4 linked regions of the Elephas maximus indicus genome follow. The protein of the gene in region 1 interacts with the protein of each later gene in a pairwise test. Links are inferred from orthologs where the notes say so. Each region holds a gene or a part of one and is shown in the gene's direction. Other genes may lie near its edges.

Evidence for each region.
Region 2: the proteins of DCTN2 (region 1) and CCDC172 interact in binary tests that used the Homo sapiens proteins (3 or more experiments, as listed by UniProt). The two-hybrid records come from large-scale screens. The link is inferred for Elephas maximus indicus from reciprocal best matches to the Homo sapiens genes DCTN2 and CCDC172.
Region 3: the proteins of DCTN2 (region 1) and GADD45A interact in binary tests that used the Homo sapiens proteins (3 or more experiments, as listed by UniProt). The link is inferred for Elephas maximus indicus from reciprocal best matches to the Homo sapiens genes DCTN2 and GADD45A.
Region 4: the proteins of DCTN2 (region 1) and KIFC3 interact in binary tests that used the Homo sapiens proteins (3 or more experiments, as listed by UniProt). The two-hybrid records come from large-scale screens. The link is inferred for Elephas maximus indicus from reciprocal best matches to the Homo sapiens genes DCTN2 and KIFC3.

What each region holds. Positions count from the first base shown.
Region 1 is NC_064822.1:117,449,709-117,457,500, reverse strand, and holds the start of DCTN2 (dynactin subunit 2), read left to right. Parts: upstream 1-4,755; 5' UTR 4,756-4,920; coding exon 4,921-4,956; intron 4,957-5,867; coding exon 5,868-5,936; intron 5,937-7,792. Other genes in the region: KIF5A (kinesin heavy chain), read right to left, coding at 1,457-1,585. UniProt on the Homo sapiens protein: Part of the dynactin complex that activates the molecular motor dynein for ultra-processive transport along microtubules. In the dynactin soulder domain, binds the ACTR1A filament and acts as a molecular ruler to determine the length.
Region 2 is NC_064834.1:67,089,844-67,097,719, forward strand, and holds the start of CCDC172 (coiled-coil domain-containing protein 172), read left to right. Parts: upstream 1-4,836; coding exon 4,837-4,915; intron 4,916-5,373; coding exon 5,374-5,459; intron 5,460-7,876.
Region 3 is NC_064821.1:113,651,082-113,658,277, forward strand, and holds the start of GADD45A (growth arrest and DNA damage-inducible protein GADD45 alpha), read left to right. Parts: upstream 1-4,115; 5' UTR 4,116-4,424; coding exon 4,425-4,468; intron 4,469-4,968; coding exon 4,969-5,070; intron 5,071-5,330; coding exon 5,331-5,568; intron 5,569-6,617; coding exon 6,618-6,731; 3' UTR 6,732-7,196. UniProt on the Homo sapiens protein: In T-cells, functions as a regulator of p38 MAPKs by inhibiting p88 phosphorylation and activity.
Region 4 is NC_064839.1:24,689,205-24,696,774, reverse strand, and holds the start of KIFC3 (kinesin-like protein KIFC3), read left to right. Parts: upstream 1-4,476; 5' UTR 4,477-4,583; intron 4,584-5,659; exon of another isoform or gene 5,660-5,721; intron 5,722-7,570. UniProt on the Homo sapiens protein: Minus-end microtubule-dependent motor protein. Involved in apically targeted transport. Required for zonula adherens maintenance.

The sequences.
Region 1 (7,792 bases):
CCCTTTGGGGATCCTTGGGGATGGGTAAGCAGACCTCTCCCTGAGACATGTTTACTCAAAATCTCATTCTCACTGACTCATAGAGCCCAGGTTCCCTCCTCTCCTTTCATTCCTTTAGCAAGCGTGTTTCCAGCTGCCTTGTGTCAAAGACTGTGGATCAAAGATACATAAGAAGTGCTCCTGACCTTGAGAAGCTCAGGGACTGCCCTCAAATTCGCCCCTCCCTTCTTAAGCAGGGCTACAGTTTCCTGGCCCAGTACCCCTCAAGCCCCACAGGACTCAATTCCCAGATCCTTTCACCCCATTCCACCAGCCTAGGCAAGGTGGAGTGGATGAGGCCTAGCAATTCCCTTTGAGTCATAACTGATAAAGGTCCAGAACAGAAATCTGGAGAGGCAGTGCGATGTAGAGGAAAAAGCATGAGCTTTGAACTCACAGATTTGCATTCAGCTCCATGAATTAACTGTGTGACCTTGAGAAAGTCATTTAACTTCTTTGGGCCTCAAGGTCCTTAACTGTAAAATGGAAATATTAATCCCTGCTTCAGAGTGTTGTTTTAAGAACTAAATAATATGGATAGAGTGACAAGAACACAATAAATATTATTTTCCTTCTTAACAAGACCTCCTCCATGGTTAAGGATTATCATGATGAGGTAGAGGTGGCTTGCTACCTTTTACTGGTTCATCAAGGGAAAGGATGAATAAGCAGGTACTTATTAGGATCTTGGGTTTGAGCATTTTTACTTATTGGAGGGGAAGTGTTGGGGGGTCTGAAATCTTCTTCCTATTGTACCTGGGAGGAAAAGGGAGACATTTCCTTAGGACCCCAGAGGCTTCCCCCAAGCTGGGCGTGGCATCCATGTATTCCTTTCCCAGAACACCCTTCAACAGACTTGTGCCCTTCCCCCAAGTCCAGGCCTTAACTAATTTAGGGGATGATGGAGGAATTTGGTCCCGGATTTGGTCCTGGACCCCACTTCCATTCACACCACCGCAGAGACCCTGGACTGCCCACCTCCCATCTAGCCCATCCACTAGCCTTCTCCTCCCTTGCTGGGAGGTGAGGGGCACAGATCTGAGCCAATAACAAAGAGAAGATGCACCTTCTCTGGGGAGAGAGGGAAAAGATCAGAAAAACACGGGACTGACTCTAAGGGGTGGCGAACCTGTAGAGAGTAGTAAAGGCGAGCTGGCTCCCCTAGTCCCGGAGAAGTAGCCCCCTCCCCCTCTGCAGAGTCTTGGCCGCTGGCCTGGCCAGGCCACACCCAGCCATCCTGATGCAGGGGAGAGAAGGAGGGACTGCGGCGCGGAGGATGGTTGGAGGATGAAGGATGGAGGATGGAGGATGAGTGGAGGGGAGGGGGCGCAGTGTGACAGGCAGGCGCTTAGGCTCTGCGGTATAAGATTCAGTCTCCCGCCCTCCCCCCCCAATCCCTTCCAGGGGCAGCACTCACCCCAATAACGACGCTGTCATCCCCTTGGAAAATGGGGATGAACTTGTCCCCCCGCAGAATCTCTGCCTGGTTGAGGGGCCGAAAGCGGCAGAGCACCTTGATGCTACATTCGTTGTTGGTCTCCGTCATGGTGGTCGCCGACGTGGGGCTGGGGCACTTCTGGGGCTGCAGGGGTGATGTGTGCTCCGGAGGAGGAGGGCGCTCAGCTGAGGCCGAGGCGGAGGAGAGGAGCTGGGTCTCTGTTGAGGGGCGCCGAGGCGAAGACTGGGAGCAGGACCTGTGCGCGCTTTCTCTCCTGCGGCACTGGGGTGCGGGCGGGGGACCTGGCGGCTGGTGCTCTCGCGGCGCTCTGCCTCTCCGCCCTTCCCGCTGCAGCGCAGCGCTGCGGGCTTGGGCGGGGCCGCGATGAGGAGCGGGGGGCGTGGCCTCCCTCGCCGGGAACCGCTCGCACGACAATGACCAGCGCAGGGTGTGACCTTTCCTCCCTACTCCCACCTGTCCCCTACTCACCCCTGAGGCTCGGAGATAACTTGCCTCACCCCTTCCCAATCCAGTTCATACACTGCGTCCCCCTCCCCCGACCTGTTTGTCCCTCCCTCCACCCCCTGGAAGGGAATAGAGGGTCGGAGGTGCGCTTGTCTTAACAAGAGGGTCAACAAGGTTTCCATCCCTTTTTTCCGGGGTATCCTCTACCCCCGTCACAGTCCTCTCTCTAAATTGGGAGCCCACTTCTCATTCCCCCGTCTCACCTCCCACGCACAGATGCCAAATTCCCAACCCACTCAACCTTCAAGGGCAGCTGCCTGTACCTGTATTGAGGGTGGGTCTCCAGGTCCCATTCTTGGGGAAGAGGTATCAGGGGCAAGTCTGGCTACCACCTTCCCCTTCTATATGCAAGGGTGCACCCTACTCTCTCCCCAACATACACACCAGGTCCCCAGTTTGAAAGAAGACAAACTCCCATTCTGGCCTATCAGAATTCAAAAGCAGATGAATTTCTCATTTTTGCCTACTAAATTGAGACTGGGATGGAGGTGGGCAGGAGTAACTTTTGCAAGAGAAAGGGAGTCAGAAGGCGGTGAAGGAGAGTGGTGATAGGAGTGGGCAAGGCTACAGGGGCCTCTGAGAGGATTCTTAGGGTGAACACCTGCATTTGGGTTTCAGCAGGTTTAAGCACCTATGTATGTTTCCTGTTCCAGTTACCACTGGACAGAATCCCAATATCCCAGCCCCTTTCTCAGGCCTTTCTTCTCTGCTTCTCCTCCCTTCCCTGGTACAAGTCAAGCCCAGAAAAGCCTTGTCCTTCTTTCTCCCAGGTCAACCTACAGCTGCAGCCCATGGGGCAGAACCACCAAGAAGCTGGTGAATTGATTTTTCTCCATGTCACAGGTTTTTGCTGGCCAACAGAGAGTTGGACTGCAGGAGTTGAAGCTCTGGGCCAAGGGGAGGGGCAGGGTGATGGGAGCAGGGAGGAGGGAATGGAGGTTCTACCCAGCAATTGTCTGTTAAGTGTCTAAGGTCACTTAGACACTAAGGGGCAAGGGTAAGAGGCTGATGGCCTGGCCAGAAAAGACCCAACCACTCAGAACTCATCTGAGGAGGGAGTTCCCATCAGACCTATATCTCTAACCCACCTGAATCTTAAGAGAACTGAGGGAAAACGATCCAGCTTAAGGAACTGGATGAGAAGGCAGTGGAACTATGGAGAAAGAGGGGTAGAGGCTTGGGGGAGGAGCCAGGAAAGTGTAGATAGAATGACAACGAGTTCTAAACTCAGGAAAATAGGTATCTCTCCAGTCACTTTGTCTGGCACTATTTCTAAGTGTTGCAGCATCCTGCAAGCTCGAGAAATATCCTGGGAAACATCCCAACCTTGAGGCCCCAGGAGCTTCAGGGAAACATACTTAGTAGTTTCAGAATGCCAGGCCATGAAGGGTCACTGGATAGCCCTCCCCTCCCCACCCCCCAAAAAGAACAATGTGATATATTACCATTTAGATCTGTGCTCTGCTAAAAAACCATCTGTACCAGCCCAAAAGGTCAACATTTAATCCAAAGTAAAGATGAGACGATAAGGGGGCAGGGAAACTAGAGTACTGGAAATGGAACAACCAGAGCACAAAGAGAATGTTGATACAATGTGAAAAATGTAACTGATGTCATTGATAGATTTGTGTGGAAATTGTCAAACAGGAACACTTTCACAAAAAAACACAATAAAATATTATTAAAGAAAAGAACAATGTGGTGAGTTTTTCACAAAGCTAGTTAAGTTTAAAAGAACTGTCTTTTATTCTGAGACTTCCTATTTTTCTGCTAAGTTGGTGATAGAGACAGTAGGTTTTCTTTTTTTAATGTATTTACTTGGAAAAATAAAAAGGTAGCAATTCGGTGTTTATCCTCAAAAAGATTTGCTGTTGTTGTTTCAATTTTATTGAACTGTGAAATTCAAAGGTCTTGAAACTATTAGTGAAGTGGTTAAGAGCACAGAGGGTGGTCTGACAGATATGGAAGTATCACTTTCCTATTATATAACTTTGAAATAGGATTGCCAAATTAAAAAAAAAAAAACTGGAAGCCCAGTTAAATTTGAATTTCAGATAATTAATAATTTTTTGTGTATGTCCCAAATATGGCATGCGCCCTTATACTAAAAACTATTAGTTGTTTTTCTGAAATTCAAAGTTAACTAGGCGTCCTGTATTTTATGACACCCCTAACTTGAGAAGATAAGATTTCCATACCTAATACGCACTAAAAAAAAAAAAAGTGGACGTCGAATCATCTCTGACTCATAGAGACTCTGTAGGACAGAGTAGAACTGCCCCATGGGGTTTCCAAGGAGCGGCTGGTGGATTCGAACTGCTGATATTTTGGTTAGAAGCCATAGCACTTAACGACTACATCACCAAAGCTCTTAATATGCTCTAAGCGTTTACTAAATTTTACTTGTTTTTCAAGCCCTGGCTATGCCATAACAGGACGAGTTTTGTGATTTTATCTAGCCACTTAATTTCTGGAAGTTCCAATTTATTCATCTGAAAAAAAGGAAATATAAGATCTCTTTCACAGACTTGATGTAAAAAAGAAAGAAAATAAGTAGTGTAAAACAGCTCCTCAAGACGCGTTATTGTCGTTCCCTGCCCAAACCCCAGCCCGCCAAGACTACACATCCCACAATCCCAGGCGGCGTTTCCCCTCCATCCCTGCCATTACCTCATTCTCTGGCCTCGTTCTCGCCAATCCCTGCCTAGCCGGAGGTGTGGCATCAGGCTATTCTCGCGACTTTTGTTTTACCCTTCTGCTGTGCTACTCCTGTCGCGAGACCTCCGGCTCCTCCGCCTCCTGCGCCGCTCCCTTTGCCGCCGTCTTAGCCCGGGACCCGGACTCATCCTCTCCCCTACCTGAACACCGGCCCCGGCTCTACTGAGGCCCCGGTCCCCCCACCCCGCCTCGCCGCCGCCATGGCGGACCCTAAATACGCCGACCTTCCCGGCATTGTGAGTACAGGGCTGGCTACGGCTTCCCAGGACCGCGCCCCCGACCACCCTAGGACCCCCAACAGACACCAACCCGAACCCCTCCCGCCTGAAGCCCCTCCTCCGCCCCAAGGACGCGTTCCCCTCGCTCCGAGACCGGCCGCAGCACCTTCCGGACTCCTTCTATCCGACTGAGCTGGGCCGTCGGACGGCGCACCAGACCCCCTTCCCGGCAGGCGCCGGCTCCCCGGCCCCGAAGTCGTTGCTGGTCGTTACCACTTGTGCCCTAGTGTTACCACCAGTGTCAACACCTCCCGTGCTGTCCCAAATCTCCCTATAAACCCCCCACCTCTCACGCCACCCCAGAACACACACAACAGGATACTTGGTGATGGCCTTCACCCTGCCAAGGAAGAGATTAGGGTGGCAGAACTTTTCTTGTGTCAGAGGTGGAACTCTGTCCCCCGGGAATCTGCCCCTCCCTTCCCCCATGCACATGCCTGCGTGTTCCCTCTTTGTGCGGCTCTGTCTGTATTTTCCGGGTAGGGGTTGGATCACAGGACCTTGGTCCCGACTCATGCTTAACCCTTGTGCCGGGGTAGTGGTGCTCCGGGCCTAATTCAAGGATAGCCCTCACCTACTTGTGATATGATTGCCAAGGACGTGCTCCCCCAGCCTTCAGATTCAGAGTAATGAGTAACATCTTTGTCATCAGTACATACCATTTACAATCAGGTCCCAGTTGTCCCCTCTGTCATCCCCACCCCACTGAGTCATGGGGAACTGACATGCTGTTAGGGACAGGTGGAAGAGAAAGGACAGGATCCTGGCATCACAGCCTGCCTTTTCTGTTTGTTCAAGTGGAATGGAGGAAGGGGTGTTGGTGGATATGCTGGGTGGTGAGGTCTGGTGATCACTGCTTCTGCCTGCAGGCCAGGAACGAGCCAGATGTTTATGAAACCAGTGACCTACCTGAGGATGATCAAGCGGAGTTTGATGCGGTAAGACCGTGCTGCCTCAGGACTCTTCTGGACTCTGATGTATCTTTCCCAGGCAGGGCCTTTCCCTTCTTTGGCGAGTCACAGCAATAAGTGGGTATGCCAACCCCAGCCTAGGTGGTATGTAGGTTGCAGGACTTGCAAAGGCCTCACTGGGCCTACAGCCACCAATAAGTAATGCCAGGAAAAAGAGGTCAGTGGAAATATAACCAAGAAGACCTACTTGCAAAACCCTGATCCTTGGGCCTTTTTAATCAAATTAGATTATCTCAAAAACAGTTAGGTTGGGGCTAGAGACTTAGTTAGGCTCATGGGTTCTAGCCCATGGTAATAAATCATGAAGCCTGAACACTTACAACACTTGAGGTTAGGACTAGGCCTTTTATTTCGTAAAGTATTTCACTTCAGTATCCTACCAAGACCCTACCAAGAGCTAGACTTTGAAGTATAGAGGACTATTTTATAGGAATGTTTAGTACCCATTGGGCAAAGAGTAAGAAAATGATTTGGAGATTTTAGAGAGAGAAAGGGGACTGAGGAGGAAGGAATTAGCTAGCTATGGACATATTTGAACCAGGAGGGGGACTACTTAGCATTGTTGACTGGATGTCTTGCTTGTGTGCTGATTTTTGTGCAGTGCAGAGGAAGGAAGAAATGTTCCTGCACTCAGGAAGCCCCCAGACTAATAGGGGAGTTAGGAAGCAGGGAAGAAAAAAACAAAATTGAGTGAATGAAAATCAACATAGTAGAAACTCGGTATGTAAGTGCCAAGGTGGGCAAAGATCCATTAGCATATCTTACAAGATATGTTTCAGGTTCTATTATTTCCAGACCTGGGCTGAAGTCACGTTAATGGTGTGAGATCTGAGTGAAGGTGTTATCAGGAGTCAGAGGGAACAAGCTTAATACGCGTGTCTGTGAGTCCTGTGGCTGTATCTGTGGGCTGGTTAGTTCTGGGGAACGCTGGTTGCTGGCTTATAATGTATGGCTTGGCGTACTCACTTATTCCTTATTTGATTCCCCCATGTGGAAGTGGTTCCTACTTTGTGGGGAACACCTTCCCTGTCCCCTCTCAGTGGTGTGTCTTTGTGGCTTCTGTATCTGCTGGCATGTCAGGCTGTCCCCCAAGCTTGAGTATCTGGAGATCAATGCAGAATAATGTTGTTGCCCAAGGACCGGGGTGTGCACCTGTCATTCTAAGAGGTATCTTATTAGGAAGCTGCCTCTGGCCTCACAGGATAGGGATATAGATGCTGAGGACTTCACTGTACTGCCACGGTTCACAGACTGCTCAATTCTGTCCTAAGCCTCTGCCTAAAAATTATCAAGCCTTCATGGTAAGATAATGAATGGAACTTTGTAACTTTGTCCATGACTGAAAAAAAAAAAAAAAAGGCAGTATCAAAGCAGTCCCCTTTTTAGACCAGAAAAAAAAAAAAAAAGTTGCAATTTTCCTTTTGAAGCAACTGGGACATCTCTTAATAAAAAGAAGATGACAACCATTCTAGGCATGGAAGAGCCTAAATGTGCATCTCTGATTGGCTGTTTGTCCCCACTGAGCCAGAGCAGCCTATTTTAGTAGTGTCTAGTGGGGTGGCTGATGGGGAGAGAGGATACCATGAGTCTTCATTTCTTGTGGCATGTTGCCCAGGATGCTGGTATAGCAGTGCTTAGGAGTGGGATGGTGAGCACAGGAGGAATCCAGTTGCGTCCATCACCTAAGGCTCAGCTAAGTGGCTCTCTATCACTAGGGAGGAGTAAGTGGGGCGGGGAACCTTCAGCTGCTCCAGAAGCCCTCAGGGCTGAGATGTTTCCTGGTGTCAGCTAATATCTCTGGCCCCTGAATGTCCCTATGGGCA
Region 2 (7,876 bases), on another chromosome or scaffold:
TGACAATAATGACATCCACATAAATATGTATCTTCTTAATAGGAAGGATTTCTGCAGTAGATGAATTGCTCCAGACCAGCCCTGCATTCTGGCTGTCAGACCCTTCCTTCAAATTCTTATAACAAAGTTCAAAATAGAAAACAAATCAAAGAGGAGTTGTTTTAGCTGAAGTGGTTGAAAACCACTGGCGAACAAAAGGATCTTCCGTTGGAGTAGGAAGGAATTAGGAGAAGGTTCTAGACAAAGCTCTGATGTTAACTGCTTCTGCATTGTTGGGAAAATCCAACATATCCCTGGCCTGAGGTATATTAACACATACCTAATAAAAGAATTGTGCAGGATGCTTTCTAAAGTCACTTAAACCACCAAAAATGCTTTGATTATAATAGAAGTAAATCAAAGTCTTGATTCACTTTCTTTTCTTAAAATCAGAATTTATTTTCCACATCTTACCTTTTAAGGTCTTTATACACAGATTTCATTTTTAGTTTTACATATTAGATATGTAGCTAGTTAAATAAGCACTCTCGATTCTTTACCCTTGGATCACATTTGGTCTTAATTTGTTACAGACGCTTTGCATTACTAATCCAAGCTCTAGAAGTCTGAGAGGTTTCCAAGTGTCTTCAGAAAAGATAATAATTTGTTGGTGACGAGCATTGTTTAGGAAATTCATCTGCCTTGAAATGAAACTGAGCTGCCAAAACACTTTCATTTCCTTTTTTTTCTAGCTTTTAGGGGCGACCAAGTGATGTAGTTAAGGATGCGCCTTCTAGAATCAGACTATCAGGGTTCAGATTGTGATTCTGCTGCTTCCTGGCTACTGTTTTGACCTTGGACAAGTTACTTAACCTCTCTCTGCCACAGTCTCCCAACTATAAAGTGGAAATAAGAAAAGCATCAATCTCGTAGGGTTGTTGTGTAGATTAAATGAGTTAATGTTTGCCACGGTCTCAGATGGTGATTGGCAAATACCAAGCTATTCAATGCATAGGCTGTCAATATCTTCCTTTTTAGTGTTTCTAATCCACTGCCAAGAACTGACTGCATAAAACAACTCTTACATGTCACTCACCTGCTTGAAAACATATGATCTTCCATCATATACATGAAAATGTTCAACACCTTCTAAATATTGGCCTCGCCTAACACTCTACCCCCTTTTCTCCCTTATTCTCTATCTTTTGAAGTCCCGTCCTCCTTAAAAACCAATCGCATAAGTTATACTCTCCTGATAAGTCTTCCCAGATCACACTTGTAAGGCTTATTCTCTCCCTCTGCCATATTCTCATAGCACAAGAGTGAAGCTCTATTGTACATAGCCTGCCTGGGAGTTATTATATATGCTGTGTCCCATTTGACAGATTATGACCTCCAGGAGGGCAGGGCCTGTATCATTTTTGACTTTGTATCCCCATAGTACCTAGCAGACAGTTTTACACTTAGTAGATACTCAATAAATGGTTGTAAAACTTGGTTGAACCCACATAATTTTTTTTTTTCTTTTTGGCAGATGCCGTGAGTAAAACATAAAATAAATGAATTACTTTTCCTCTTTCCATTGCAATATATATGCCCTGGGTTAGTGGGTATTTGCAAGCCTGGTTTAGAACTTACGGATGTTATCAATCTAAGAATGGAGAGGAAATGCATTTTAAATTACAAGAACAATACAGCCTTATATAAGGCCTTCTAGCAAAGCAATTACCAATTGCTCAATAACCCAGGTGCTAGAGTTATTATGAACAAAAGTTTGAGGTTGAGAGACAATGAGTGTTCTTAACATTTATATTCCATAGGTATGCAATTCAATGAAATATGTACAGATGGAAAGTTTAGATCTGAGAATCATATGTGGGTATCATAATGCAAATAAGAACATCTGTTGAAACATCTGAAAGCAGTTGTTTATACTCTTGCCAAAATGTTGAAAAATATAATAATTCTCCAACGAGGTTAGATATATCCGGGGGAAGAAAAATACTTTTTTATGTAGTTCTGTTTTTATTAAATCTTGTTGTTGTTTCTCAAATATGGCACATAAGAGATACTCAATAATATTTGTTGGTGAATAGCAGAGAGTCATTAAACAGTTGTTGAATGAATCATTTCTTTTTTTTAGACTTAAAAGATCGATACACTTCCAGAAAACAGTATGCCCAAGTTTTACCACATCATATACCATTTTTATTTGGCATAAATTTAAGAAATGCCACGCTTTCTCTGAACATTATAGAATGTAATCAGCAAGTAGGTCTACAAGAAAAATATCTTAATGCTATAGAAAATACATGAAGAACACTAAATATGATAATGGCATTTTAATATCTTAATTATGGTTCTTTTATTCATTATTGTGAAACACTTGAAGTTGGAATCGTGGGCTTGCATAATAATGTTATATCAACAAAACAAAATAAAAAACCCTGCTGTTGTCTATAGTTGTGGTACTTCTAGAATACTCTAGCTTAGTGTTTAAAAGCACCAAATATTCTGGGCGTGTGAAGAAGACCACAGAAGATGAAGAAGCAAACCATCTCACCCCACATGTCCTTTCCTGAAATTCCAACAGCTCCCTTCGACACTCCTGTGTGAGTGAGGCAACTAGACTCCCTAAAGGCTGCCCAAATCTCACTCTGCCAAGTTTCAGAACGGAAAGAGAATGTTAAATAATATATGTGAGTTTGAGTGTAACTAATAAAATTGGAATGTTAAATAGCAGCATGCTTTTGAAAACCAGCCTCCTTGTGAGGATGCTCCCTGTGCAAGTCCATAGGAAATAATTCTGAAGGGAGTGATATTAATTAGTAATATAATTTATCTTCTGGAAGCCCTTTCCTTTGATGGCAGCCGTGGTACAGTTCATAAGCCTCCAAACGAGTGCTCAAAGAAAATGGCTCAAACCACAATTTCAGCTTTGTTTTTCATCCTTGAGCAAATAAAAGAGTCAAATTTATTCCTATATATCTAAATTTTACACGTGTCTATATGATGGGGAATTATGAAGTTCTAAAAATGCTTTTATGAAGCTTTCAATGAAATAGTAAAATACTTGTGATATAATACAAGGAAAAAAGAGCGGAAACAAAAATTAAATTCATGGCCTCTGATCACAGATTTCTTGGGTTCAGAGCTCACTCTGCCATATAGTAGATATGCAACCTTGGCAAGATACTTAACTGTTCTGTACCTCGGTTTCCCCCGCTAAGCAATGAAAGCAATACTAAAATCATTCTCAAAAGGATGTAAAGTGTTTGGAATAGTGCCTGGAAAATACTCAGTAAATACTATTGTTACCATCATTGTCATCATATACTCACAGTAGTTTTAAGTTTACAAAGGAAAAATGGCAAGGTGCAGGGGATTAGCTGGCAATAGCCAAAATGCCATTAATATTTGCTTCTGATTTGTCAACTTATGGGTAATTCTTTTCAGCATCATTATACTTTTCAGTATGTATTCCTTTATAATAAAGTTTAAAAATCAAATTATGCATACACGGCTTGATGGAAATTAAGGTGGAAATCTGGAATAGATTAAAAGTTATAATCAATTATACTACAGCATTAAGGAAATACATAGATGGTGGGGCAGAATTTACATCTACCTTATTTTACTTAATTCTAAATACATTCTAACTAGAAAATACTTTTTAAAGTTTAACCAACGTCAATTTAACATTCAGAAGTGGAGTCAATTGTTTATTCAAATCTCAATATTTTGACCTACTATAAGTAAAAATATTTTATTTTTTAATTTTAAAAATCTCATGCAAAAGTCCCAAAGGTGCCTTTCATGTTTAAGCTTTAATTAGCAACCACTTTGGTCTCTGACACATATTGCACAGATATTGAAGTGTTAATATAACCGCAGCTTGATTACAAAAGGCAATGATTAATTTTAAAGCAGACAAAAAAGATATGCCCTGATTACAAAGGAATGATTAAGGTGGAATGTCAGACATTGCACATTTATAGCAGTCTTTGCCATATTCAAAGGATAAGACTTTGCAAAAGTTTATATTTAGAATCACGGGTACATTGTACTTTATAATACTGGGCGTTTGACTAACAGAGACAGATCACCTCAACTGCATGTAAGGCCTAAGACTTCAGGGAGTTACGTAGCCCACAGGAAACCGCCTCTGAGGTAGAATGGGCCCAACGAGACACCGTAGTGTAAGCTCTCTCCTGGCAGAGCCTTATCTGCCGAGGCACCAGCTCTGGCCTTAGCGAAGGTTTCTTTCTCGGCAGTTTTTGGTAAGTACACATATTGCTGAGAGAAGGAAGTCTCCAAAGATTTCATCCCTAAAAAGAGAAGGATTGAGCGGAAAAGGCTTACCACGGAAAGGGCCGCTGTCGAGACCCACTAGGAAGCCAAGGCCCAGGGCTTCCATTTTTATTTTGCCCTGGGACAAAAAGCCAAACCTGGAGTGGGGAGAGGCCTTCTCTGAGGGGAAAAAGGCAGAGTTCAAACTATTGTCCTAGATGAACCGAGGATTTGAGGGAGAAAAAAACGGGTTTGTGGACTATAACAGGGGAAACAAAGGCAGCGAGAATGGACTGCGAGCAGAGGGTGAGGAGCCAGGAGGCTGCCCCGAGCGGGGTTGGGGTCTCGGCCCCTCCCCGGGCCCCGGCGGTGCCCCAAGACCCCCAGGCCGACTCCATCCTATGTCGGGCTCCTGCCTGGGCGTGGGGAGGCAGTCAGGGTAGTGGAGGCCGATCTGGGAATAGCTCAAGAATAATCTTTCTGCTTTATTGTGCTTTCCAGGATCCTCCGCCTTGGTTATAAAATACTGAACGGTGAAAAAAGGATTCACAGGAGCCTGGGCCTGAGATGAGTTTAGAGTCCTTGTTTCAACACATCATCTTCACCGAGCATCAGGCTGAGGAGAGCCGTCGCTTGATGCGAGAAGGTCGGGGGATTGCTGTCATTGTGCACGAAGCCTTATTGTCTCCTTGAGTTGGGTGCTTGGAGCCGAAGGAAATCCTGAAAGCAGTGGTCAGAGCAGTTAAAACCCCAAAAAAACCAAACCCGTTGCTGTCGAGTTGATTTTGACTCATTGTGACCATATAAGGACAGAGTAGAACTGCCCCATAGAGTTTCCAAGGAGTGCCTGGTGGATTCGAACTGCTTACCTTTTGGTTAGCAGGTGTAGCACTTAACCACTACAGCACCAGGGTTTCCACACAGCAGTTAGGGGAGTTCGTTTTCCACCTTGGGAAATAAAGCTGAGATTTGCCTTACTAAATGCTACCCAAAAAAGGGGATTTTTAGAAAGATTGATCTGTATGTGAGTCAGAATCGAACTGACTGCAATGAGTTTGGTTTGGTTTTGGGTTGATGTGTTTAAGGATTTAATTTCTATTACAGTCAGGGCCGAAACAATCAGATGTCGTGAAAAAATTAAGAAAGCAACGGTGGAGCTGAATGAAGAGAAGATCAAGTTGGAATCTAAGGTATTGACCATGGAAAGCATGCTAATTAGCACTTGAAAAAAAATCAGGTTTAACTTGACCTTTTAGGAGTGTTTCACTTATTAACTGCTTGTCCTTCAAGTAAGAAGCACACTATTTCTGTGCTGGTTGATGTAGCTCCATGTTGTCTGGTAATATTTAAAAGTCCGAATCCAGTGTACCTTCAGTTCTAATATGAACTTGCTTTAAAGAAACAGTTCAAGTAATGATGTAAATAATGAAGAGTTCATCGTCCATTTTGAAGACTGGTTAAGATTTTTAAAGTGTAATGTCATTGGAAAAATAATTGTTCAATAAGTAGTTGGCATAATATATAAACTTTGAATAATAAATAACTTAAGAAGCATGCTGTATTGATACAACTGTTGAATGTAACTTTCGAATGAGTTTCTGCCTTTTGTTTTTCAATTCTCTGCCAATTTTGGACACCATTTGTCATCCAAAAAGGGTAATTTTTCAACTAACATGTCTCACTTTTCTGCAGCTTTTGTAAAGTGTGTTTTTTGAACTGGAAGTAAAAGAACCTGGTAGCTTCTTGAAGGAGGATTTTGAAGTGTGGGAAGAATATTGGAGAGGCAAAGAAAATAGGAGAAAAACATTGGGTTAAGAGGATATGAACAAAAGGGAGAAAGTAGAAATGCCTGAGGCATATTGGGAGAGAAAGCTAGTCAAAGCAAGGCTGATATCTGGGATTAGAGGAACCCATTGGTTTTTATCAGGGAAGGTATGATAAAAGCAGTTTTAGGAGAATCTCTCCCAGCTGCGATAAGGAGGATGGGAGCAGCATATAGTTAGGAAGCTAAGGACATCATCTAAATATATCACAGTGAAGGCCTGGCTATGGGTGGGGACAGACAGCCATACAGAAATACAAATTTGGCACCTAATGATGAACTAAGCAAGCAGTATGCCATGGGAAGTCTGTTTGAGAAAGTCTGTGTGCTTAAGATAAACATATCTATTTTAACTTACCACTGTGAATAATTTCCATTTTTCTTTGTGAGTAAAGTAATCACAGAATCCTTCTCCACCTGATGAGGTTCTTCTCTTCCTTTCTAAATCTAGCTCAGACATTACCTGTGAAGCCATTCCATGAACATTTTGGAAAATGTACAGATGGCATGGGGGCAGTGTCTGACCTCTTCTTACTCACAAGGGAGAAGGAGAATCAAGATCAACAGCCCAAGGCTGAGTCCTATGAGGCGGAGGTCAGACATACCACCTCTTTCTGCCGTCTTTACCAATTCTGACACCAACTGTCCCTCCCATGCATTCTGTACTTCTGTGCCAGGTTCGATAATTCATTGCAGTGGCCACAGAGAACTTACAGACAATACTCATGATTTTGGGGTTTATTAGGAAAGTAACAGGTTACAGTCCAGGTTCAGGAATGCTCAGGATACAGTTCTTCCATCAGGACAGGCTCTTCCCAGTCGTGCTTGCAGGCATGCCTCTTCTGGCCTTTGGCCCCTGCCCTGCATGGGCTAGTGTCACAGAGCTCTTTTAGCTCTGCTGTTAAGTGCCCGGAGGTATGCCACTCTGCCAGTAAGCCTCAGCCCAAAGGCACTCAGCTCTAGCTCTGTGGGTGGAGGAAGCCCACCATGCTGTCTCCTGGATTGCCAAGCCTAGCGTCACCAACTGCCTGGAGGCACCTTACTGTTCCAGCAAACCTCCTGCCCAAAGGCACTCAGCTTTCTTGCTTTGTGGGCTGGGAAGCTCAGCACACTGTTTTCCTGCTGCAGGTCTCTGCTGCTGCTGTTTCTCTGCCACTGCTTCTCACCATCTTCAGTGTAAAAGCCCTCTCAGTCTCTAGATTCCAGGAGCTTCTCAGTCCAGGGATTACGGGTCCAAAGGACATGCTGTGATCTTGGCCCTTCTTTCTTGGTTGTGGTGAGATCCCACCTCTGGGATGGCTCATTTTAAGCTCAGTGGGATGGCAAAACTGACCAGTCCCCTTGGTGGGCCACAGTTACACTATTTGTACAGTCCCACTCAATCACTTGGGTGGGCGTTACAAGCCAAGGCAAGAAAGATGGCAGAAAAGTGATCCATTGCACCACAAATTTTTTTTTTAATATTTTACTGCATTACCTTACAACTAAATAATATTACATACTTGTGTTTGTGTCTGTTTCCCTTACTGTTTTGTGAACAAAATATCTGAAATTATTTTTCTTACTCATATTTTTATTGGTTATAGGATGGTGCCTGTATCTAATGCCTAGCACATAGTCTACATTAATGTTTTGAATGAATGAATGAGTACCAATAGTGCGATAATAGGGACAGTGTTGTTTTTAAAAATAGGAGTTGGAACTATTGTTCAGTGAGACCCTAGCTCTTGCTTTGCTTGTGAATAGCAGATACGCTAGCTGCTACCAGCAATACTAAAACTGGTG
Region 3 (7,196 bases), on another chromosome or scaffold:
AGTGAAACACCAGGGGGTGAAGCTCCTGGAGGCCATCTGAGAATTCTGCCTATCACAGTGATGGCTCAAGAAACCAAACCTTTATCTTAAAATCAAACAGAAATATTGATCCTAAAACAAGACCACACATTTTTAGGTGATGGTAAAACTTGTTTGAATGATCTTCAAAAAAGGAGGGAAATTCTCAGGTCTGCATTTAGAAACTAACTTCACCAGACTTGTACAAAAAATATGTATATCAGGAACCTTACGACTTTTCACAATATAGTAACACAGTTCTATATTTTAGGTAGGTGGTAGATACATCCGTCATAGTCTAACTTGTCTTCTTTACTGTGAACGATGATCTTTCTAATACTGAAATAACAAACATCATATTTCTTTCAGATGTTAAAGGATTGACTATTATTTAAAAGGAAAAAAGTTATAATTCTGTACTATGGAACCAGCAGTAAACCAAAAAACCAAACCCACTGCCGCCGAGTTGATTCCGAACCTATAGAACAGAGTAGAATTGCCCCATAGAATGTCCAAGGAGCACCTGGTGGACCTGAACTGCTGACCTTTTGGTTAGCAGCCGTGGCTCTTAACCACTATGCAACCAGGGTTTCCATAGAACCAGTAGTAGGGATGTATATATGATAAAAGTGAAGAATATATCATAAAGATTTTCACATGCAAAGCAGGTAGCAATGCTAAAATAATTCCACAATTCTTGAGTACATATTTCCATCTCATTTCCAAATATAACCATTTGGCATCCTTTCAAATACTACTAAAAGGTCATTCTAATCCTGTGCAAATGAAGTACTCAGGGCTACCTGGAGTAGTCTTAAAAATGACTTCACATACTGGAGTTCTTACACTGGCTATAAAAAATATGTATATTTATCTAGGGAAATTCCTCTGATTTACTGTTGGATACTAATTCCTCTTTCTTTCCCGATGACAAATAAGCATTTACGAAAAAAACCATCTATGATCATTCCGATGCATAACTACATTTCAAATGCAGCTACTTGTAGTTTCTACTTGCAGCCACAAGGCCCAACTTTGAAGATAATCACTGATGAAACGTCTAGGTAGACTCAGCAACAAGGCAAAATGATGTAACATATCTGAGTCAGAAAGTATGACAAATAGATATTTTTGAATACTGGAAGCCTGGGCTTATCTCGCAGAGAAAAACCCCACAATACTTGAACAAACGTCTTTCCCATGAGGCCAGATAGAGCGTGCAACGTAGTTTTTGAGTGAGGGACTACCCCTATATAAAGAATTAACTATTTTATGCCATATTTTTACTGCACATAGTTGACTTGGATGGGACATTATTACAACTGTGTTTCATTTGAATTGGTGTAAACAATACATGAGTTCTACTGTCCTACAGTTTCCATTCAGATGAGTAAAGTCATGGGACTTTCAGCATAGCTAGCAGGTGACAGTGCATAATATTTTGTCCTAAAATCCTGTTCAAGCATAAACATATCCATTAGATCATAAGTTCTTTAAAGGCAAAGGATCAAGAATGGACAGTTCTTGGGTTTATTTGTTTGTTCGTTTTTTAACTAAAGTTAAATGTGAAGTATTTTAGAGGGAATTCATGCAATACACAAGACTGAAGGAATTGCACGATCCTGTTCAAATTTTGGATTCTACTCCACTCAATAAACATGGATTATGTTTCTACTAAATGCAGACACTGTGCCAGGTGCTGAGGACATCAAGTTGATAAAGTCACAGTCTTTGCTGTGACTTGTGACTACATTTCCTTCCAGAGAGCCTCTGAGAAACGTCTAGTGTAAAGAACGTTGCAGTTCCGAGGAACACAGTTCAACAATCTCCAAACGATGATTCAGGCTAGATTGTGTAATTCAAGTTTTGTTTGCAAAACTGAAAGTGCTTCAGCACCTACCTAAGTTTCAATCTTGAGGAATTCTTTAACAAAGACACCACATGTTAGAATTTAAGGTACAGATACAAGATACACAAGCACCCTTAGGTGAATTAAACAATGACCGTGACCATTCTTTTACTCAAATTCCCTTGCTCACAGTGCAGTTAGGGACTGAGTGAAAAATGACAGCTTGGATAAGTGAACCAGAAACCTGACCTATCACTTTTCCATTAAATTAAGAACAAGAGAACTAGAAAATATTTTGCCAAGAATGACACACACACACACACAAAACCCAAATCCATTGCCAGCAAATAGATTCAGACTCATAGCAATCCTATAGGTCAGAGTAGAACTGCCCTCATAGGGTTTCCAAGGCTATAAATCTTTACGAAAGCATACTGCCACAGCTTTCTGCCCTGGAGTTGCTGGTGGGTTCAAACTGCTGACCTTTCGATTAAGAGCCAATGTTTAACCATTGTGCCACAAGGTTCGTTGATACAAACATAAAAAAAATAAAATAACCAAACCCGTTGCCCTCCACTTGAATCAGACTCACAGCTACCCTATAGGACAGAGTAGAACTGCCCCATAGGGTTTCCAAGGAACACCTGGTGGTGGATTCGAACTGCTGGCGTTTTGGTGAGCAACCGTAGCTCTTAACCACTACACCACTGCAGTGGCTGCAAAAAACTGCTCTGTAAGGGTACAAAAACTTCCATGTTATCTTTGCCTCCCTAGGTGGTGTAAAAAGTTAACACTCTTGGCTGCTAACAGAAAGATTGGAGCTTTGAGTCCACCCAGAGATGCCTCAGAAGAAAGGAGTGGAGATCTACTTCCCCCAAATCAGCTGCTCAAACTCTGAGGTCGCCATGAGTCAGAATCACCGGCAATTGATACTGGTTCTGGTCCTGATATCTTTGTAAAAAAGTTACTTCTGTGACCTTTGGCTGCACAGCGACCTTAATAATGCAAGCACTGTTTTTAGTGCAAGCATGCGGGAGGCATTTTCACCACTTTTGGTTACTTAAGTAGGTTTAAGAAATATTTCTGCATTTATTGCATAAAGTCATAAAACAAAGAAAGGGGCTTTTGACCCATTCAGAGAAAGTCTATATATTAAAGTTTGTTTCAAAAATGTGTGACTACTGTTTGCAGTTATAAAGGCCTGCTTTCCACCGACAGGTTGCCATTATCTCAAAGGTGAAATTTTAGCATATAACAAACATGCTATAGCTACAGCTTCATGATTCTGCATCCAACGTCAGTAATTCACAGTGAGATCATAGCCTCTCCGTGGAAAGTAGTGACATATTTACTTGCCTTATGAAAGGAAGCTTAGGGCATATCGAGAGCAATTTGAGTTAAGGCTGTGGCATGTGAAGGTGTCAGACATTTGTCTTTTGGCTTTTACCGGTGCAGGAGGATCCTCCTTAGGGAAAGGCTCTCCGGGAAAGGTGAACTGGGGTTGTCCAGCTGGGATTCACACATGTGGCCACCAGCTCCCCACGTGCACCAGCTCGTGGTTTTCCAGGGTTACACTGGGCAGGTGGAAAGCCTTTCTGTTTTCTGTGGAAAAGACTCCAACTTGGTCCCCTGCCACCATCAAACACAAATGTGTTGATTTTTCTTTTTTGAGCTTCCAGCCCTTGTAACCTTCCAAAAATAAATCAAACCAGCCATCAAGGCACCGAAAAAATACTACTACTAATAAGCAGCTTTGCTCAGACTTACATAAACAACTCTTCTGAGGTAAACTGCCCCAGAGGTCTGGACACACTCTTTTTATGTAACCTGCTTACTAGTAATTACTAGACTTGGGTGTATTAACCCTGGAAACAGACTTTAACAGCAACCCCTAAAAACAAAAGACATGAAACGATAATAAAAAATGTGCACCAACTAGAAAAACACTTGACAGCATTCTCCAGCCCAAGTTGAAGACAAGCCCCCCTCTATGTCCCTCAACAGCTATACCCCTCTCCACGATCGGCCCCGCCAACAGGATTCGAGACCCCGCCCCCTACTCTCGCTGCACCGCCCCGCCCCCTAGTACCGCCTCCCGCGTAGCTCCTCCCTCTTCCGCTCCTCTCCGCCTGGAACCAGCAGCTGGGGTCAAATTGCCAGACCAGGCTTATTTGCATAGCCCAGTGGCTGCGTAGTATGCAAATAAGGCGGGAGGTGGTTGGCTGGAGGTTAACAGGATAACTCTGGCGAGTCGGGCCCTTTGTCCTTCAGTGGCTGTGGAGCAACTGCAGTCGTCGTTCCGCGTCCGTTGGCGAGGGTCAAAGAGCCAGCGAGCGAGCGAACCGGGCGCAAGGGGCGGAGGGCGCGGCGGCGGCGGGCGCTGGAGGAGGAGCCCGGGCGGGCGAGGGGCGGCCGGGCAGTGCCGGGGACCGCGCGCTTGAGGGGCCGGAGTCGGCGCACGGTGCCTGTGAGGGGCGTGCAGAGAGCAGCCGCCGCGCGCCCACGGTGGTAAGAGCAGCCCGCACGCCGCTCTCTGTGGGGGACCTGCAGTTGCAATATGACTTTGGAGGAATTCTCGGCTGGAGAGCAGAAGAGCGAAAGGTAAGTCAGCCTGCGGACTTTTCGGGCTGGTGGCAATCTCCCCAGCCTCTCCCTGAGCCCTCTCGCCCACCCCGCGCACCCCAGGTGCAGAGGGCTGTGGAGCTGTAGCGGGGAGCGGGCGGAAAAGTTTGCAGAGGGCATGTCCGCCCGGCCTCCCTCGGGACCCTCCCTCGGGCCCTCTCTGCAGCTCGGCCGGGTCCCTCCGTGGGTCTTTGCAAAGGGCAGCGCGGTCGTCCCTGCCCGCGCGGCTCCTGCGGCTGGCAGCCTGTGGCTGCGCCCAGCGCCGGGAATTGGCAGTGTCCTCCGAAGAGGGTGGCGGGTGGCACTGTCCCGGCCTCAGAGTGTGAGGGGATGTGGCCGGCTGGACGGCGGGAGCCCCGGCTTGCAGAAAGCCCCGGTGCACGGTGGCACTTGCACTTGGGACGGGGCGAGGGGGTGCTACGGCTCTCGCGGGGGCCTGGACTGACGGGACCCCTTCCTCCGCCCTTGGCCGCGTCTAGGATGGATAAGGTGGGAGATGCCCTCGAGGAAGTGCTCAGCAAAGCCCTGAGTCAGCGCACCATCACCGTCGGGGTGTACGAGGCGGCCAAGCTGCTCAATGTGTAAGTGGGGCCCTCGCGTGTCCCCTCGGGGCGCCCCTTCCCGCCCAGCCTGGGAGGTCGCCCTTGCGGCGCGCCCCTGGCCCTGCAGCGCCAGTCCTGCTGCAGCTTTCCGCCCGCCTCCGTGTGTGCCAGCCCCCGGGGGGGGGAGGGGACGACCGGAGCGCGACCCGCGGGGACCCAGGGGAGGCGGACCGGGGCTCTCGGGCGCCCGCGCGGGCCTGTAGTGCCTGGGCGCTCACCGGCCCCCGCGCTGCCCGCAGAGACCCCGACAACGTGGTGCTGTGCCTGCTGGCGGCGGACGAGGACGACGACAGGGATGTGGCTTTGCAGATCCACTTCACCCTGATCCAGGCGTTCTGCTGCGAGAACGACATCAACATCCTACGCGTCAGCAACCCGGGCCGGCTGGCCGAGCTTCTGCTGCTGGAGCCGGACGCGGGCCGGGCGGCGAGCGAGGGCGCCGAGCAGCCCCCCGACCTGCACTGCGTGCTGGTGACGGTAAGTGAGAAGGGGGCAGCGGGGCCGGGGGTTAAAGTCCCGGAAGGAAGTAAGGAAGGGCTAAGAATTCTTGGACTGCAGGTCTAGAGCGGGTGGGAGTCAAGAGGGTGGCTGCCTTTGCCCTCCTAGAGAGTGTGGTCGGACTTTCAGCCGAATGTGCTAGTTTCATCATCAGGATTTTCCCTGGTACAGAACATGTCTAAGCACGTTGGAGGTTGCCAGCAGCGGAAGAGATCCCTGTGAGTCAGCATTGTCAGCCCAGCTACTCCCTACCTACATCTGCACTACCTCCCGTGACTAATTCCTTTAACAGGGCAGATTAGATAAAGCCAAATAAATTCCTGGCTCACCCTCATTAAGGAGTCAGCTTCATTCTTTGCCAGTCAGAGCTAAAAATAGAAGTGGTGTAGGAGACAGACCTTATTAATTCCCTAGAAGTACATTAAGAGGACAGAGTGGAAATTTTTTTTCTTTGCAATCTTGCATTTTTTTAATGGACCCTTTTGTTGTTGGGGAGGAAAAAAAAAACCTTTCAGAGGTAAATGTGGTAGCTTTGTCTTTTAAATTTTATTGTATTCTGACTGGTTCTAGTTAAGTGGCAGACTGTTTTGCTGCTCTAATCTTTTGGAGGATAATGGGTGGCAATTCTATTTAACTGCTCTACAGCTCATCTCACTGCACGTACAGCGTGGAGATATTTCTCCAAGTTCTTTCACTCAGGTCTCTGCCAGGGTGCAGTTTTGCAGGGCAAGATTGTGAATGATATTTTCATGCAAAACAATAATACCGTCATGTAAATATATGTATGTGGTGTGTGGATTGCCTGTGTTCAGACTCTGCAGAATATAGTTTAATAGATAATTAACAATTGTGCAAGTAATCTAACTACCTAGAAATTTTATTATTTATGCTTGTAACTTATCTCTATTTTACATAGTGAAGAGATAGAATATTTAAGTATCTTCCCCTCAGGGTAGTGTAAGTATTAGCAAATGCTGATTTAAAAAAAAATAATAATAATACATCTATTTTCCTAAATTTGTTCCCAGAATCCACATTCATCGCAATGGAAGGATCCCGCCTTAAGTCAACTTATTTGTTTTTGCCGGGAAAGTCGATACATGGATCAGTGGGTTCCGGTGATTAATCTCCCCGAACGGTGATGGCATCTGAATGAAAATAACTGAACCAAATTGCACTGAAGTTTTGAAATACCTTTGTAGTTACTCAAGCAATTACTCCCTACACTGATGCAAGGATTACAGAAACTGATGTCAAGGGGCTGAGTGAGTTCAACTACATGTTCTAGGGGACCGGAGATAGGTGACTTTGCAGATGGAAAGAGGTGAAAATGAAGAAGGAAGCTGTGTTGAAACAGAAATACAAGTCAAAAGGAACAAAAATTACAAAGAACCATGCAGGAAGGAAAACAAACTATGTATTAATTTAGGATGGTTGAGTTACATTAAAATAAACCAAATATGCTTTGTTAAAGTTTAAATAATACAGCAGTAGTTTGGATATTTTTGGTTTATATGCCCTAATGGAAAAGAAAAGCAGAAGGGGTTAATCATATTTTAAAACCATATTTTATTGTATTTTGATGAGATGTTAAATTCTCGAAGTTT
Region 4 (7,570 bases), on another chromosome or scaffold:
CCGGCTACTAACCGAAAGGTTGGTGGTTTGGACCCACCCATGAAAGAAAGGCCTCGTGATCTGCTTCTATAAAGATAAAAGCCAAAAAAACAAACCCATTGCTGTCGAGCCAATTCCAACTCTTAGCGACCCTATGGGACAGAGTAGAACTGCCTCATAGGGTTTCCAAGGAACAGCTGGTGGGTTCAAACTGCCAACCTTTTGGTTAGCAGCCATAGCTCTTAACCACTGCACCACCATGGCTCCTCTGTAAAGGTAGTAGCCAAGGAAACCCTATAGAGTAGTTCTGCTCTGTAACACATAGGGTCACCATGAGTCAGAATTGACTTGACAGCAATGGGTTTGGAGGTCATCGAATCTCAAGTTCAATCATTAAAACTGGAAAATCATGTAAATCTGTGCTTTACTCTGGGTTATTCTGGGTTACTATGACAATCAGATCAAACACAAACTGGCTTTTCATTTCTTTCTCTTGGCTTCCCTCTGGGAAGAAGTACCCATGGCCCGCCCCTTGGCTACCTCTGACAGATGACCCTCCCTGAGTGTTAAGGAGACTCAAGCCCTTTGAACAAAAAGATGGCACTGCTGACCCATGTGTAGGGGTCAAGGTGGACATGGGTATGGAGTGTTCTTGCCACTACCCTTTTGTCTGGCCCTCCCCGAGACAGGTATGCCTCTGTCCAACTGTGGGCAGGGAGGGCCAAGGCCAGGGGCAGAAGCCAAGCGTGTTGTTCGTGGGTTCATGACTTCACATTGGGACGGACAAGTCTCTGTCAAATCCTTGGCCTCCTCTGTGCCTAGGGCAGATTTGGCAGCCTTTCAATCAAACCATCAATGAAATTCTAGGCTAGAAATGACCTTGGATTTGGTATGTAGTTCCTGGTGAGAGTGAACATTCTTTAAAAAAATTCCAACAATCATGAAACAATTTGTTTTTATATTTCAGGTCAAAGCTGTATTTGCTGGAGCCAGAACGTGCTTCCTCTAATGCCCCAGTTTTCTTTTTCCTTCACTGGTGCTCTGATCTTAGTAAACTCTTATAAGCCCGTTGCTATCGAGTTGATTCAGACTCTTGGTGACCCCATGTGTTACAGAGTAGAACTACTCCATGGGGTTTCCTTGGTTGTAATCTCTTTTTTTTTTCCTGTGCTTTAAGTGAAAATTTACAAATCAAGTCAGTCTCTCATATAAAAATTGCACACACCTTGCTATGTACTCCTAGTTGCTCTTCCTCCAATGAGACAGCGCACTCCCTCTCTCCACCCCATATTCCTGTGTCCATTCAGCCAGCTTCTGTCCCCTCTGCCCTCCCATCTCCCCTCCAGACAGGAGATGCCAACATAGTCTCATGTGTCTACTTGGGCCAAGAAGCTCACTCCTCACCAGTATCATTTTCTATCCCATAGTCCAGTCCAATCCCTGCCTGAAGAGTTGGCTTTGGGGATGGTTCCAGACTTGGACTAACAGAACATCTGGGGACCATGACCTCCGGGTCCTTCCAGTCTCAGGCAGACCATTAAGTCTGGTCTTTTATGAGAATTTGAGGCCTGCATCCTCCTGCTCTCCTGCTCCACCAGGGATTCTCTGTTGTGTTCCCTGTCAGAGCAGTCATTGGTTGTATCCTTGGCTGTAATATTTACAGAAGCGGATAGCCAAGGCTTTCTTTCGTGATGCCGTTGGGTGGGTTTAGCAAACCTCTGGTTAGTAGTCTTTTGTCTGTGTGTGTGCATGTGGATACCCTACCTGGGTTCCTGTCTCAGCTCTGTCACACACCGGCTTTGTGAATTAACCTTTCTGAGGCTCAGTTTCCTCTCCTGCAAAACCGGGATATGATGGTGCCCACCTTATAGGGTGTTCAGGGTTAAATGAGATCTTGTTTATAAAGAGCTTAGTGCAGTGCCTGGCACAGTGTTAGCTTTGAATAAATGGTAGCTATTATGTGCATAGAGAAAAAAAAGACTACTAAAATGTTGGCAGCCTTTATCTCTAGTGGGTGGGATTACGGCTACAATGAACATCTATTACTCTTGTAATCAGAGAGAAAGAACAATAAATGTTATTATTAATTTAAAATTCTGGCTTTGGCTTTGTTGGAAGGAACCTGCAGTTAATGTCAACGTGCCAACCCGAAAGTAAGATAAGACCTCCGGTTTTATACCAAGACTTTAAGGACAGCCCCTGCCTACCACCACCAATCAAATAGCCCACCCACTGCCCTCGAGTCAAATAATAGACTATTATAATAGAGGGAGGAGCCCTAGTGGCTCAGTGGTTAAAGTGCTAAGCTGCTATCCAAAAGATTGGCAGTTGGAACCCACCAGCAGGAGAAAGATGCAGCAATCTGCTTCCCTAAAAATTTACAGTCCAGGAAACCCTATGGGGCAGTTCTGCTCTGCCCTACAGGGTCACTGTGAGTCAGAATTGATTTGACAGCAATGGGTTTATACTAGAGGGAGATACTTGCCCAGAAATCTAGAGAGATTTCAACCTCATCTAACCTTGCAGTCCCCCCTGACCACTGCTGTCTGTGGGGGCAGACAGGGGATACTCTCAAAATAAAGCCTCCCCCATTGGGAAGGTTCTCCTCAGCTCTTAGTTGGAAATGTCTAACTCTCCAGAGAGCACCCCAGGAGAATGACATCTATCCTCTACTGGGCCTTTGCTTGGGCATCTCATTTAGAAAATAAAACACACGCTAGCCCACCTCCAACAGTGGGGAGAGGGGCTGTGAGTGGCCTCATCTGGCAGCCACTGAGACAGGTGGCTGAGGCTCAGGCCTTCAGTCTGCTCTGATCAAGCTTCCTGACCTTTAGCCTGTGGCCCTGGTAGCAGCAGGAGACTGGAACTGCCTGATCCCCTCCCGTCTCGCTCCTCCTGAGCCATCCTCTGCCAAGCAGGAAGGGGCAGAGTGCCCACCCTGCTCGGATTATCTGTGGAACCATCGGTCTGCGCGCTGGGCTGGCTTCCGAGCTTTTCTTTCTCCTTCTTCCGCACCCTGAAGGGGGAATAGTGCTGTTGACTCTGGAATAAAATGCCGCCTCTGTTTGGGAGACAAAGAACAGAGTAGCTCCTCCGGGTCAGCTGTCTCTCCTGGTCTGCCGGCCCCCTGGCCTCCCCCACGCCCTGTGAAGAGGCTGGAGCTAGGCCGGGAGCCTCTGCCTACTCCCAGGGCTGCTGCACTCTCAACATGTTTTCACTGGAGCTGAAAGGAATACTGTACCTTAAAAACCCCAAATGCTTCCCTGTTCTGGAAGATGTTAATTTGCTGGGGCGTGGGGATGGGGGTTTGCTGTGACTGGGAGGCAGCCTGGCCTACATGTGCATACTAGAGTGAGTGAGGGCATGTGTGTGAACGTATGTGTGAGAACGTGTGAAAGTGCATTGTGTGAGGTGACTACAGTGTGTGAGAGTTTGTATGAGAGTATGTGTTGTCGTCGAGTCAATGCCTACTCATGGTGACCCCATGTGTGCAGAGGAGAACTGTTCCATAGGGTTTTCAAAGCTAGGACCTTTTGGAAGCAAATGGCCAGGCCTGTCTTCCTAGGTGCCTCTGGGTGGGTTCAAACCACCAACCTTTCTGCTTAGTTAACTACTTGCACCACTAGGGACTTCTCAAAGTATGTGTACTAGGGTTTAAAAGAATGTGTGTACTAGTACTCAATAGAGCGTGTGAGAACATTTGTGGGAAACCACGTCAGAGAGCACGTGTGAAAGTGCTGTGCTTGTATGTGGTGAGTGCGTGTGTGAGAACATGTGGTAGTGTGTGCATGTACTAACTAGAGGGTGTACGAGAATGTGAAGAACGGGTGTACTGGCTTGTTAGGCAAAGCATGTGAGATGTGACAGTGCGCGTAAGCGCTAACTAGAGTGTGTGAAAGTTGTGTATTACGGTGTGAGGGTGTGAGTGCTAGTGTGGAAGCCTGTGTGCAAACGCATGCGTGAATTAACTAAACCCGTTGCCGTCGAGTCCGTTCATAGGGTTTCCAAGAAGCAGCCGGTGAATTCGAACTGCTGACCTTTTGGTTATCAGCCAAGCTCTTAACCATTGCACCACCAGCCCTGGCAACCGTGTATTAACGAGTGGATGAATATGTGTGAGACCTACGAGACTTGTGTGAGTGTGTGTGAAAGCATTTGCAGTAGCGTGAGAGAACACGTGTATCAGAGTGTGTGAAAGACTCGGTGCGTGAAAGTGTGAGTTCTTGTGGAAATATGTGCGCACCAGCGTGTGCAGGGCGCAGAAGGCGGGAGAGACCGCGTGGACACGTCTGGGTGAAAGCTTGACGCCTCAGGGTGGGAGCCCCCGCGTGTGAGTGCACGGGGGCGCGCGCCCGGGCCAGCACGTGTGCGTGAGTGCGCGCGCCGCGCCCCCCGCCGGGGTCTAAGCCAGTTGCCATGGGAACGCGCCGCGGCCCGAGCTAATCATTTCCTGTGGAAAGTGTGCGGGAGGGGCGGGAGCGGGGCGGAGCAGGGCGGGCCGAGGAGGAGGTGGCGGCGGCGTGGAGCTGCCTCCAGCCGGCTGGCCGGGCCGGGCCGAGCCCCCGGCGCTGCGGCGACCCCGGGATCGTGCCTCCGTGAGGCGGGTAAGTCGGAGGCCCCGGCGGGCTGCGGGCGGGCTGGGCGCTTGGGCTCCACCCGGCCCGCCGTACGGGGCGCCGTGTCCGAGCCCTTCCTCACCGCCGGACCCCTGTGTCCGGGCCCGCTGGGGCGCGGGGGAAGGCCCGGCCCCGGCTTCGGCCCCGGAGACCCAGCCCTGTGCGGTCCGTTGGCACTGTCCAACCTGGGCCGAAGACCGTGCCCCGAGCTGGGCACGGGAGCGGCACGTCTTCTGGGATCAGAGCAGCTTCGGGACCCCCGTTCCGTTTCCATCGGCCTGGGAGAGCGCGGACCCTACCCCAGAAAGGCAGATGTTAATCAGCGCTGCTTCCTTCCTTTGAAGGCTGCAGTTTTGGGGCCTCCCACCACGTACCCTGAGCAATTCGCTTTCCAGCTGGCAGGGCCGGGGTGGGGTGGGCCAGCCCCCAGTTCAGGAAAGAGGACCTTGGCAGGTGCCCTGTTGGGCAGTGGGGAATCGGGCCGTTGCCAGCGGTAGGCTGGAGGTCCCAGCAGCCACCCCCTTAAGCCCCTCATAGCGAGTTAGAGCCGAACTTAGGCCTGGTCCTGGGAGATTGTAAAGAGGAAGCTGTATTTAATTTCTCAAGTGCCCTTTGCCATCACCATGAGCACATCTGTCTCAAGGTTGAGGGTTGTGACCACCTCTGGCCCTTCCGGGTCCCTGGCTTTCCCTCTCCCTGAGGCTGGGGGAGCACCCATTCTTGCCCAGACTATGCCCCATGCCCTTGATAAAGTAGCTGTCTCCTTGGCCAGCAGAGTCATTTGCCAGGAATGCAGCCTCAGAATGGGGCCCTGTATTTGCAGTGATTGGACCTTAGGATGCAGGGTCATGAATTCCACTGTCCTTAAGGGCACAAGAGAGCAGAGAATTTTAAAATCTGGATTGTTGTGAAAAACGCAGATGTGTGGCTCTGTGCAGGGAAGATCCCAGCCCCTGTGCAGTCTCCCTGACCTTCTGCTTGTACTCCCAGGGGGACTGAGCCCTCCCCAGCAGCAGTCCCTGGGCAGTTGCAAAATCTGTCCTTTAATCATTGAAATGCCCCAGGTCTGGGAGAAGGAGGAAACCCTTGACCCTGCAGTTCTGCCACCTGGCCTAAACCCGGGAAGGTAGGTGTCCCCCTCCTCCAGCTGTCCCCTCTGCATTCATCCACCACAAGTGGGAGGTCACTGAAAAATAAAAATTTTAACTCTTTGTATACCGCCAGGCGCTCTTTGGAAACTCTTTGGGGCAGTTCTACTCAGTCCTGTAGGGTTACTATGAGCCGGAATCAACTCGACGGCACTGGGTTTTTTTTGCCAGTATTGCTCTGAACACTTTATATGTGTGTTGCCTAATCTTTACACCAACTGTAGAAGGTAGAGTTCTTCCCATTTTACAGATGGGGATAATGAGGCACAGAGAGGCAAAGTGGCTCTCCCAAGGTCACACATCTAGTAAGTGGCAGAGCCAGATTCTGAACCAGCTTTTGGTTATAACCACTCTTCCATGTAATCCCCCTCCCCATCCTGGGATGGCAGAGGCCCCAGATGCCAGGTGGGTTATGGAAGGCCCATGCAAGTAAGGGGAGAGGGTGCGTCTTTCTGGGCCCAGAACTGTGGCCTTATTTGAGATTCCTTATTACTCTTGACTCCCCACCCTCCTCCAGCTGCTAAATTCAGCTGCTTTTTCCTCTTTGAGATCTTGTACACACCCTCTCTCTTCCTGACATCTTCCTGGCTACCTCCCTGACTTCCCTTCCTGAAAGCCACAGAAATAATGTCTTCTGCCCCTGCCCCTTAGATCTAGCTGATTTCCTTATATGTCTTCTCCTTCTACCATGCAGTTGACCAGCAGTGCCCTGTACCGCCTCACCTTGTAGTGGCTTGGCTCACAGGTAGAGCCAGCCTCTCTCCCTCCTTGCTCGTTGGGCAGCTCGTCCGCAGGGTTGGTTGTTTGCCTGTGCCAAGCAGCCTGGAGAAGAGGACATTTGACTGCTCCCCTTGGTTTCTTTCCTTCCTAGGGGTAGATTATCTGATAGGCAAGGTAAGCATGGCGCTTGCCTTGCTTACCAGACCATCTATGGTAAACAATTTCACATTTTTTCACCACATTAAAGTTTCTTCTTCTAGATATGGCTGGCACCTGTCCCTCTCCCAGCCCCACACCACCTTCCTATAGAGTCAAAGCCTTTTTTCCAATTTATAATTCCTAATAGGGGCGGATGACCCAGTAAGCAAGGTAAGCACAAGCTTACTTGTGCTTACTAACCTGTAGTGAACAATTTCACATGGGTTTCAGCACATCTCAGCAACACTGGTCCATCTCGATTTCCTCAGTGGAGCCAGCCCACATATTTGGATTTGCCTCCACCCGTCCTGTGGCCCACATTCCTGCCCCATTGTGGTGACGCTGCACCCAGGAGCCTCCTCCTCCAAGTTTTTGTCCCCTCACCAGGAGACTGGCCTTCTAGGGCTCAACTACGCAAACATCAGACACTACGTCTTCGTGCCTCCCACCCTGCCTCTTACTGTCTTCCCCTCTCTGTGCTTCCATCATTCTTGTCCCTCTGTCTACCCAACATGCTCATATCTCTCCTGTTCCAAAAACCAAGTCCTCTCGATTCATCCTGTCCTTCCCCTGCTAGCCAGACCTCCCAAGAGGGGCAGGTAGCCACTTCCTCTAGCTCCCACCCCACTCCTGAGCCTTCCCAAGTCTGCCCCCTGCCCTGCTCCATCAACAAGCTCTCTTAAAGAGCACCCAGGGGCTCCCTGCCCGTCTCAGTTTCCTTCCAGTCTGGTTCACTGGGAACTGGCATCCTTTCCTTCCCATTCTCTCTCTGGTCAAGTCTGAGGACTCTACACCTGCCCACCTTCAGCCACCTCTGCAACCAGCCTTCTCTGGCTTTCATGCCCTTCCTACCCTGTGAGTGAGCACTGCCCTCTCCTGGTTGCCTCTCCCCTGGAACACCTTTTGCAT